Linked DNA regions of Saccharomyces cerevisiae S288C. The protein of the gene in region 2 binds, or shares a complex with, the protein of the main gene of each other region. Each region holds a gene or a part of one and is shown on either strand. Other genes may lie near its edges.

Region 1 (3,025 bases), on a different chromosome or scaffold from region 2:
CTCACGCACGGGACGGAAGAAGGGCGGCGTCCCCTGTTTTTCTGCTTTGGCTCATCTCTTTGGCTCCGACGGACGAAAGACGGGATTCCCCCTCCCGTGTCTTTTTATAAATAACAAGTGCTCATTCTGCATCCTTCCTTGTTTCCCGTCGTTTGGGTACAATGCGTTGATTATCCCAACCCAAGAAAGAAAATTTGTCTCACATCTGCATCTGCACATTTATTTACCTATACTTTTCCATTGTTAGCAGTATTGCAAAGTGAAGAATATATCAGCATCAAGTATATAGTATGCACAGAACTTACTCTTTAAGAAATTCCAGGGCACCTACCGCCTCTCAATTACAGAACCCACCGCCACCACCATCTACAACCAAAGGTAGATTCTTTGGGAAGGGTGGTCTAGCTTACAGCTTTAGGAGAAGTGCTGCTGGAGCTTTTGGCCCAGAATTATCCAGAAAGTTGTCTCAATTGGTTAAGATTGAAAAGAATGTTTTGAGGTCCATGGAATTGACAGCCAACGAAAGACGTGACGCTGCTAAGCAATTGTCTATTTGGGGGTTGGAAAACGATGACGATGTTTCCGACATCACTGATAAATTAGGTGTCTTGATCTATGAAGTTAGTGAATTAGACGACCAATTTATCGATCGTTATGACCAATACAGATTGACTCTAAAGTCCATCAGAGATATCGAAGGTTCTGTTCAACCATCTAGAGACCGTAAGGACAAGATCACCGACAAAATCGCCTACTTGAAATACAAAGATCCTCAATCACCTAAGATTGAGGTCTTGGAACAAGAATTGGTGCGTGCTGAGGCTGAATCTTTGGTCGCTGAAGCTCAATTATCTAATATCACAAGGTCAAAGTTGAGAGCTGCTTTCAACTACCAATTTGACTCCATCATCGAACATTCAGAGAAAATTGCTTTAATCGCTGGTTACGGTAAGGCTCTCTTGGAACTATTGGACGACTCTCCTGTCACTCCAGGTGAAACCAGGCCTGCTTACGATGGGTATGAAGCCTCTAAACAAATCATTATTGATGCTGAAAGCGCACTGAATGAATGGACACTAGACTCTGCCCAAGTCAAGCCTACTTTAAGTTTCAAGCAGGATTACGAAGACTTCGAACCTGAAGAAGGCGAAGAAGAGGAAGAGGAAGACGGTCAAGGCAGGTGGTCCGAAGACGAACAAGAAGATGGACAAATTGAAGAACCTGAACAAGAAGAAGAAGGTGCTGTTGAAGAACATGAACAAGTCGGACACCAGCAAAGTGAGTCTCTTCCCCAACAAACAACAGCTTAATCAAAATAAATCAACAATCTATTAGAAACAAAAAAAAAAAAACCAGCAGAAAAGAACAAGTTACCATACTAATTAATCTCTTTTAATTAATGCGTGGACAGATAATCATTTCTGTTCCCTCACTCTGAAAAAATTGTTTTATTTTCCTATTTTTTTTTTCATCTATTATTGTATTTTGCCCTCTCCTCACTCCTTACTTTAGTCTATTATCAATATCTCTTCCCCCTCCTAAATATGTACTCTTTTATTTTTTTTAATTGTGAAGGAACAATTCAAGTTAGAACTCTTTTGATAGGAAACATTATTTCCTGTGTAGCCTAATGTTTAATGCCTAATTTTTTTCTAAAATGCAGCAACATACATATGTTGAGTCGTATAGACATCTATATATAACAAGCACAGAACCGTCTAATTGGTATTTTTCAGGACATTTTAAACATCCGTACAACGAGAACCCATACATTACTTTTTTTAATATTCTTTTTGTTTTCACCGCCTTCTTTTTATTTTTATCCGAAGATCTTTTGGAACCCGCTCTGCGAATAGCGAAGCTAGGATACCAAATTGAAACTTGGACATAACTCATCATTAAAGAAGTATACTGTTAAGAGAGGCATTCATTTCGTGTATTATAACGTTTAGCATCAGTTACCCTTGAAAGCCCAACATATACAAAAATACGCGTCCAAGATGTCTACTAAAGCCCAAAACCCTATGCGTGATTTGAAGATCGAGAAATTGGTCTTGAACATCTCCGTTGGTGAATCTGGTGACAGATTAACCAGAGCCTCCAAGGTTTTAGAACAATTATCTGGTCAAACTCCAGTTCAATCCAAGGCCAGATACACTGTCAGAACTTTCGGTATCAGAAGAAACGAAAAAATTGCTGTTCACGTTACCGTCAGAGGTCCAAAGGCTGAAGAAATTTTGGAAAGAGGTTTGAAGGTCAAGGAATACCAATTGAGAGACAGAAACTTCTCTGCTACCGGTAACTTCGGTTTCGGTATTGACGAACACATTGACTTGGGTATCAAGTATGACCCATCCATCGGTATTTTCGGTATGGATTTCTATGTCGTCATGAACAGACCAGGTGCTAGAGTCACTAGAAGAAAGAGATGTAAGGGTACTGTTGGTAACTCCCACAAGACAACTAAGGAAGACACCGTCTCTTGGTTCAAGCAAAAGTACGACGCTGATGTGCTCGATAAATAATTTGGTCTCGGTATAGTCAGTGACAACATCAACTACTTAATATATAAGAACAAATAAAATATCCCAAAAATATCATATATCCTCATCACATTTGCAAGTCTAGCGCTTCGATGCGTTGTGAACACTTTGTCAATGTATTTAGTTGTATTCATACCCAATTTATTGGCACTTATTTGATACTCACCATGCAGGGTAATAGAAAATGTGCTGAAAAAAAGCTAAACCTTTCTTATTAAGAAAATGGGAACCATAACAGTGGTGATTAATGAGGGACCAATACTGTTGATAAGGGCATTGCACCGAGCAACGACCAACAAGAAAATGTTCAGAAGTACAGTTTGGAGACGTTTTGCATCTACCGGCGAAATTGCGAAAGCAAAGCTGGATGAATTCTTGATATACCACAAGACAGATGCGAAACTAAAACCATTCATTTACCGTCCCAAGAATGCTCAGATATTGTTAACTAAAGATATTAGGGATCCAAAAACAAGGGAACC
Region 2 (7,460 bases):
GAGCTCTAATGCAATATTTAGCATTTGAAGGCTGAAAAAGGCCATCCAACCTGTAGAATCAGCCTGTTCAAGCGTACCGCCAGTGGGTAGTGGTTCTGATCTGTTGAAAACGCCAATATTATCAAGACCCAAAAATCCGCCCTCAAAAACATTTTTACCTTCAGTATCCTTTCTGTTGACCCACCATGTAAAATTTAACAAAAGCTTCTGGAAAACTCGTTCTAAAAATGTACGATCTTCACGGTTGTACATGTTTCTTTCGATCTTGAAAACACGATACACAGCCCATGCATGGACTGGTGGATTTACGTCATTGAAGTTCCATTCGTATGCCGGAATTTGACCGTTAGGATGCATGTACCACTCTCTGGTTAATAAATCCAATTGCCGTTTTGCAAATTCTGGATCAATCATAGCTAAAGGAATGCAGTGAAACGCAGTATCCCATGAAGCAAAAAATGGATACTCCCATTTGTCGGGCATTGATAAGATATCTTCGATGTAAAGGTGCTTCCAGTTCTTGTTCCTGCCATTAGCTCTATTAGGGGGAGGGCGAGGCTTAACATTGGCGTCACCATTATACCAAGCATCATATGTAAAATTGTAGAACTGTTTAGTCCATAGCAAACCAGAAAAAGCTTGTCTTTGAAGGTTTCTTAATTCATCACTGATTGGCAAAGGTGTAATCCTCCAGTAGAAGTTATCAGCTTCCTCCTCTCTGTTATCGAAAATCAAATCAAACTCATCTTCATCTACGACAGCCAGGTTTTGTGCCTTAAAGATAGAGTTTTTTGGGTCATTTGTAAATTTGTATCTCACAGTAACATACTCTCCGGGCGGAATATTTTTGAAGTGATATACTGCGCAGGCCTTTGTTCCTTTATTTTCAGGATTTACAGCATCGGTTTTGCCTTGAACAAGATATTCTTCAAAAGCATCCTTTGTGTACTCGGAAGGATTCTTTTCTTCGTTAAATAGTTTTACTAAATTGGACTCATTATCGGTAAATAGCAGCAGAGGATCTATATCTTCTACCTCTTTATCTTCCTCTTCCTCGTTTGTACCGGAAGAGAACCCACCTGGAGATGGCTGAAAGACCATTTGGCAATTACCATATTTCTTGTGAGTCATATTGATTAAGTTCGCTGCTTCTGCATCTCTTTCAAGCAAGGGCTTGTCCTTTGTTCTAGTACCGTCAAAAGCCCAAGTATTTCTGAAGAAAAGTTGGGGAGCTATGTAGAGCTCACCAGAGTCGATTTTACTTCGATTATGTATAGTTAGCCGAAAGTTCAGTTCACTAGGGTTTTCGTCATCCTTTGCCATTTCAAAAAAAACATCGAAATAAGGGTTGTCACCGGTTTCACTATCACGGTATAGCCCATCTATATCGTAAACTTCGAATTCTTTATCCTCGTATCCCCTTTCACCATTCTTTTGCACCAATTCTTTGTATGGAAAGGCCTTTTTAAAGGGATACTTGTATAAAGCTTTCATATATGAATGAGTGGGAGTATTGTCCAGGTAAAAGTACAATTCCTTAACATCCTCACCATGGTTCCCTTGTGGCCCAGTCAACCCGAACAACCTTTCCTTCAATCTTTCATCTTTACCGTTCCACAGAGCGACATTCATACACACCAATTGTTTGTTATCTGAGACACCAAATAATCCATCTTCACCCCAACGGAATACTCTTGCATTGGCATGTTCGAAAGGAAAATTGCTCCAAGCATCACCGTTTAAAGAATAATCTTCACGGACTGTCGCCCAGCTTCTTTCACTCAAGTAGGGACCCCAACGATACCAGTATTTCTCATGATTTCGATTTTCACGCAATCTTTCTTCTTCTACTGTAGAATCTACAAATTTGTCTCTTAGCTTGTTCATTGTTGCTGTTTAGACTTGCTATCTCTTACCAATACAAGGTCTTAACACTAGTAAAAGAATACTTGACAAGACTCTTTAGTTGCACTTTAGAAATTTGGAGGTGCTGAGAAAGCGGTGGATACCAAGGTACGATCGTATAGTATATATATATATATATATTACAGTGTTATCAAACAGGTTTTCTTGGCTTGCCGCTTTTGATCTGGGTTAGCCCCGCAAGATGATGTTTTACCCCTTATTTTTGATCTAGCCTTTTTTTTGTTCAATTGGATCTGAATCGCTAAAGATTTAAACTAAAGAAAGAAGAAGACAGGATAACAATCAATGGATACAACAAATAGGGGCATTCGGAGACACAGAGTATCCATTTTATTTTCTTTTTTCTTCCGGTAGCTGGTCTTACACTTATTCTTGTCAGCAGACGGTGCGCCGCCACTCCCATTGTAACTCTTGTGATGAGCTCTCCTTTCAATGGAAAAGGAACATCACGTGAAGCGAACGCGTATGAAGAGGAAATCAGTTAGTTGATGTTTGTATGGGAATATTGTCTGTTGGAAGTTTATAGAAACAATAATGCGTGTGTATTTATGTATGTTGAGTGCATATATATGTAGGTAGATTGTTTTTTTCTTTTGATTATCATTCCTTAATCGTTATTCTAAAATGAAGACAGCCACAATCTGTAGTTTTGTTGGGCGGCATTGGCATAAAGATCGGTCAATTTATCACACGACTGGGTAGTTTTGGCCGCGACGGCCATGCGACAATCCTGGACGTTATTCATGGCTTGGTGTTTGTAGTTGTTTTCTTGAGGGTTATCTAACGAGAACACAGTCTCGTCCGAGGCAGAACTTGTGTTCAAATCGAACTTCCCGGTGTCTCTCGGTACCACGAAAGGACCATTCAAATTATTATATTTGGCATCTTCCGAAGTATTGAGTGAATAATGCTCACCAAGTGACACATGCTCGGTAAATTGATAATTGGCAAAAGATAAGGGAAACACCTCATCGTCTAAAGGAGTGGCATAGTTTGAAGACATTTCTTGGTTTTATTGTATGTGTTATATGAGAAATTCAATTCTCCTTGTCATTAGTTTGTCTATCTATATATATTAACAAACAGGCTAGTGCTGAATGACTACGGAAAACAAATATTACATGCAAAAATTTTTGACAATAATGAGTAAGAGGCACATGCACTAGAGCATAAAAATTATGAACGTGTCTAGCTACATATATATCAATTAAATTAGTCTATCCGCGTAGCCAAGAAAACGATAACAAAGGGTACTTTACCCACTTGAAGGTGTCATTAACGCTGGTATGATAACCCGCTATCAAGCTGCATAATCTTTCTCCTACTATGCGCGTCTTTTGTTTTCATTTCACGGAATGACTCTTCCGCGGAGATTGGGCCGCGCCAGAAAATTTTTTTTCATCCGCTTCAGTCATTTCTGTCTGTTTTCTGTGCGCACTCTACGCTGATCGCTTGCGGCGGTAAAATTCCCCTGATATCCACCAAGGTGCTGAAAATCGAGCTACGGGGCGCTCTTGGTACGGGAATGGCAACAGAAAGAGCAGCTAGCTCGAACAGCCAGCTCTTTTTGAGGGGGGTAACACGTATGCTGGCAAAGGGCACAGGGTCTTATTACCCCTCCTTTGGTACGGTGGTCACCACAGTAGCAGAAGCGCTCGGATCATCGCTTCCACGTCATGCCCACGTTTCGTTTCCATGCGGAAAAATGCCCTCCTTAACATGACCACTTTGGGGGTTTTTGTATATTGTTTCTTAATTGCTGATTTGTGCAGTATCCTATCGTTCGTTCTTCACCCCTCCCCTTAAACCTTGCTAGCGTTTTGATATTTTTTGTTTCCTGTCACGTTCAATACTACAAATTACACATCTCAATCGGAATCGCGGGCGCAGAGTTTTTCCGATGTTGCCCGTCGCTAATATTTGGCGACTTTTGCACGTGAACGACGTCCCCACAATAAATTTCGCAAGGAGCGGGCGTGCGTTGTTAACGTCATCCGTTAGCGAGACTTTTACGGATATTACTTTTCACCCATGGGGTGTATATGAGAGTTCAGAAGAGGGTGTGGAGAGACAGAATATTACTGTTCTTTTTTTCCAAGATATTGAGCGTTTTTTTAGTTGTTGAGATTTGTTCAAATAAGAGGTAAATATGTCTAATCCATGCCAGAAGGAGGCCTGCGCCATCCAAGGTTTGTAATATTAACTTCAAAAGATTCGATCGTTTTTTTCTTTTCACTAACGTTTTTTCACATTAATTTTAGATTGCCTTCTATCACATCAGTACGATGATGCTAAATGCGCTAAAGTTATAGATCAGCTGTACATCTGCTGCTCAAAATTTTACAATGACAATGGAAAAGATTCACGGTCACCCTGCTGTCCGCTACCTTCGCTTCTTGAGTTGAAGATGAAACAGCGAAAGCTTACACCAGGGGACAGTTGAGGCTTCCAATTGGCCCTTCTTTCTACGTATGTATGAACTAGCAATTGAAAAAAAAAAAAAGGTATGTGCGTGAAGAGAATCTAATCATAAGTACATTATTCGTACTTCCAGGGAAGATCCACTCACTTTCTTTATGAAAAAGAAATATATTTATCTAAGATCAACCGCGAGCACGACAGTGAAATAGTATTAGTACTCCACCGTATAGTAAACGATTAAGTAAACTATATACGTCCACCGCCTAAAAAAACTGTCGAAACAGAATCTCTAAAACCAAGACGAATCGTGACTCTGGGTGTCTATTATAAAAGACATTATTACCCTTTTTCAAAAAACCAAAAAAAGGAAAAGAAAAGATTTTTTAAATACCAATAAAGATTCTTGCACCACAGGAACTTCTTCTAAACTCACCGCTTTATATACCAGAAAAAGATATAACGGTACGAAGAAAAAATAATATTCATACTTTTCGGGTAACACTTATATTGCTTCAGAAAAAAAATGTAGGGTTGGTAACGACTATCAGCTCAGTACATGGGCTTTTTGCATGGCTAGTGGTACTTTACTCTAGGCCCTCTCATGTGTGAAAGTATTGGTGGTTTTTTTTTTGGTGTTATTTTTTCCTAAGTTAAAAAGAAAATATGATATCTATATATATATTACAAAAATCAGTTTTTAGAAACTTAGTGACGACGAGAAGCAGCAATGATGTTGTTCATTTCTTCGACCTTAGCCTTGGCTCTGGTGAAAGAACCCAATCTCTTCTTGGCGACCTTTCTAGCTCTCTTTTCACCAGAGTTTCTTATTAGATCAATCAATCTTCTTTCGTATGGAGACAAACCAGCGATTTCTCTGACCAAAGATCTTACGAACTTGGTTCTGTTGGAAGCAGCACCTTTCTTGTAAGAGATTTTTGGAGCTGGGGTCATGCTAGTGACCTTCTTACCTTTGTTTAAACCAATAGCAATTCCTAAATATAAGGACACAGGTTGTCTTCAGTTAGTAACATGTGAAATAGGCATACATATACACGTGTATATGTGTCGGCGGGAAGTGACGTATAATGTACGGCTTTGTATAGCATCTTTTTGTGATTGTTTTCCATGGCAATTCTTACAATGGTGCAACTACTAAAATGTTCCATTTGAAGGCGTTTTCGCAATACTATTCTTTTTGTAAAATGGACCTCATCTTCAAACACAATAGTTTTTTAGATAGGAGTGAAGAGATAAGCCTGTGTATGCATATTAAATGGTATTTTTCCTCTGGCTATTTCCATTGGTCATTAATCACTCAAAATTATATAATATTCTTGTTTTTGTTTCCTTTTAAGTTTTCAATGCACTCATGTTCTTCTCGTATTTGGGGTAAACCCCTTTATAAGTTCGAAAATCGTCATAACCCGTTCAGTTCCTTGTTTATGTCTCACATACCTGTCTTAACGGTCATTTCTTATTGTGTTTGCTGTCTTTCTTGTTTCTTTGATACTTGTAAATCAGTACTATACTGTTCAACATCCTGAAATCTCTGATTTCAAATAAATTTCATAGGAGCGGAGGCTTCCATTCAGTTGGAATTTAACTTCAAAAAAAAACTGTGAAATGTACGGGTGTAAAACAGTCTAAAAAATGAATTGCCAATTAATGTAGCAAGCATATACGCATCAATAATGTTCAGAATGTGTGCATACCTACATATGTACAAACAGATATGCTTTTTTATATACAGGGGAAAACCAACGATATTTTCGGAATGGCAATTATCTTCTTTATTTCTTCCTTTTATACGGTGATGGTGGATAAGTCGAATTTATGATCCTCTAATCTAGCTAGGATATCCTTGACTGGAACGTCGGCAAATAACTCGACAAATTTTTTGTAGTTCAGGTCCTTCCCTACTGACCTATATTCCAATTTCTCTAAAGGATATAAAAATGACATCAATCTTCTTCTTCCAACTGATATTTTTCTTGGTGAGCCGTTTACTATTTCATCATAGTAAATTTTGGCCTTTTTACCACCAGCCATTTCTATGATAGGTGCATCCTTATGTGGGGGATTCTCTATTTCATCTTTTCTTTTTAAAACCCTATAACGAAGCTTCCATCCGGTCGGCCCTAATTCTTTTATTCTTGCAGATTTTTCCTTTGTTAAATAGTTGTCAATCCCTCCTTCTTTACTGATTGTTTTTAAAACTTTAGCGGTCATTTTGATACTGATTTTTCTGTTCAGAGTCTCACTCCAGAGACCTTTTTTGACAACATTTGGCAACCACTTCTTCCTCGTTTTGGCTTTACTTTCAGAAATATTGTTACCAAACTGAACGAAAGATCCACCATATAGACCTTTGTTACTCTGTTTGAAGATATTAGATTCCCCATACTTGTAATCTGGAAATTTCTTTCTTTCTTTTGGCATATGTAAAGGTTTAGCATCACCAACTTGGTAGTTCGGTTGTTTGGCAATCTTCCTTGTTTCAATCAGTCTCCATTGCCTGAAGTTTTTTACGGAAGAGGTAAAGCCTCTCGTTAATTGGAATGGTCTGAAAATTTTTTGCATATTCTTCTGTGAGCTTTTTCTTCCTTAAACTGATTTTTCTATACCCCTGGGCACTAACTTCTAATAGCTCTAGCTGATCAGCTGTTTTTGGTTTCTCAAATGAATTTCACAAAGCGTGCCCGGATGCGAGAATACGAGATTATTTAATTAAATATAATTGCAGAAAGAGAAGAAGGAAACGTACTAAGCTCAATTTGTCCACAGTATAATCAACAAAATTGCACATTTAATTGTTTTTACTAAAAGTTTAGGAAACCGTTGTCACGATGTAATTAAAATTCTTGAATTCTTGATATGAAGGCTCTTTTCATGATGTGCCACATGAGTACAGCCGATATTTGAGAAACGTAGAATAAAATAAAACGTTAAACGCCAAGATATTTACTGTTGCAAAGTTTAGAATGGTATGGAAAGGGTTACTGTTAACTGCTAACTCGAGTATATATTGTCACGATTGTGGTTCATTATTTCTGCTAGAAGTAATGCTTACTAACAATTTCTCGGTCTTATTTATATCCTAAACACTCTCCTTT

What was found. Proteins that work in one complex are often made in the same cells at the same time.
Region 1: RPL36A (region 2) and RPL11B share a complex: the UniProt entries of both Saccharomyces cerevisiae proteins name them as parts of the large ribosomal subunit.

What each region holds. Positions count from the first base shown.
Region 1 is NC_001139.9:647,883-650,907, reverse strand, and holds RPL11B (60S ribosomal protein uL5 RPL11B), read left to right. Parts: upstream 1-2,000; coding exon 2,001-2,525; downstream 2,526-3,025. Other genes in the region: lipid-binding protein PIL1, read left to right, coding at 291-1,310; mitochondrial 37S ribosomal protein mS44 MRP13, read left to right, coding at 2,766-3,025. UniProt on the Saccharomyces cerevisiae protein: Component of the ribosome, a large ribonucleoprotein complex responsible for the synthesis of proteins in the cell.
Region 2 is NC_001145.3:649,503-656,962, reverse strand, and holds RPL36A (60S ribosomal protein eL36 RPL36A), read right to left. Parts: upstream 5,819-7,460; coding exon 5,803-5,818; intron 5,340-5,802; coding exon 5,053-5,339; downstream 1-5,052. Other genes in the region: YMR196W (uncharacterized protein), read right to left, coding at 1-1,887; ICY1 (Icy1p), read right to left, coding at 2,546-2,929; CMC4 (Cmc4p), read left to right, coding at 4,076-4,115, 4,188-4,369; mitochondrial 54S ribosomal protein bL28m MRPL24, read right to left, coding at 6,151-6,927. UniProt on the Saccharomyces cerevisiae protein: Component of the ribosome, a large ribonucleoprotein complex responsible for the synthesis of proteins in the cell.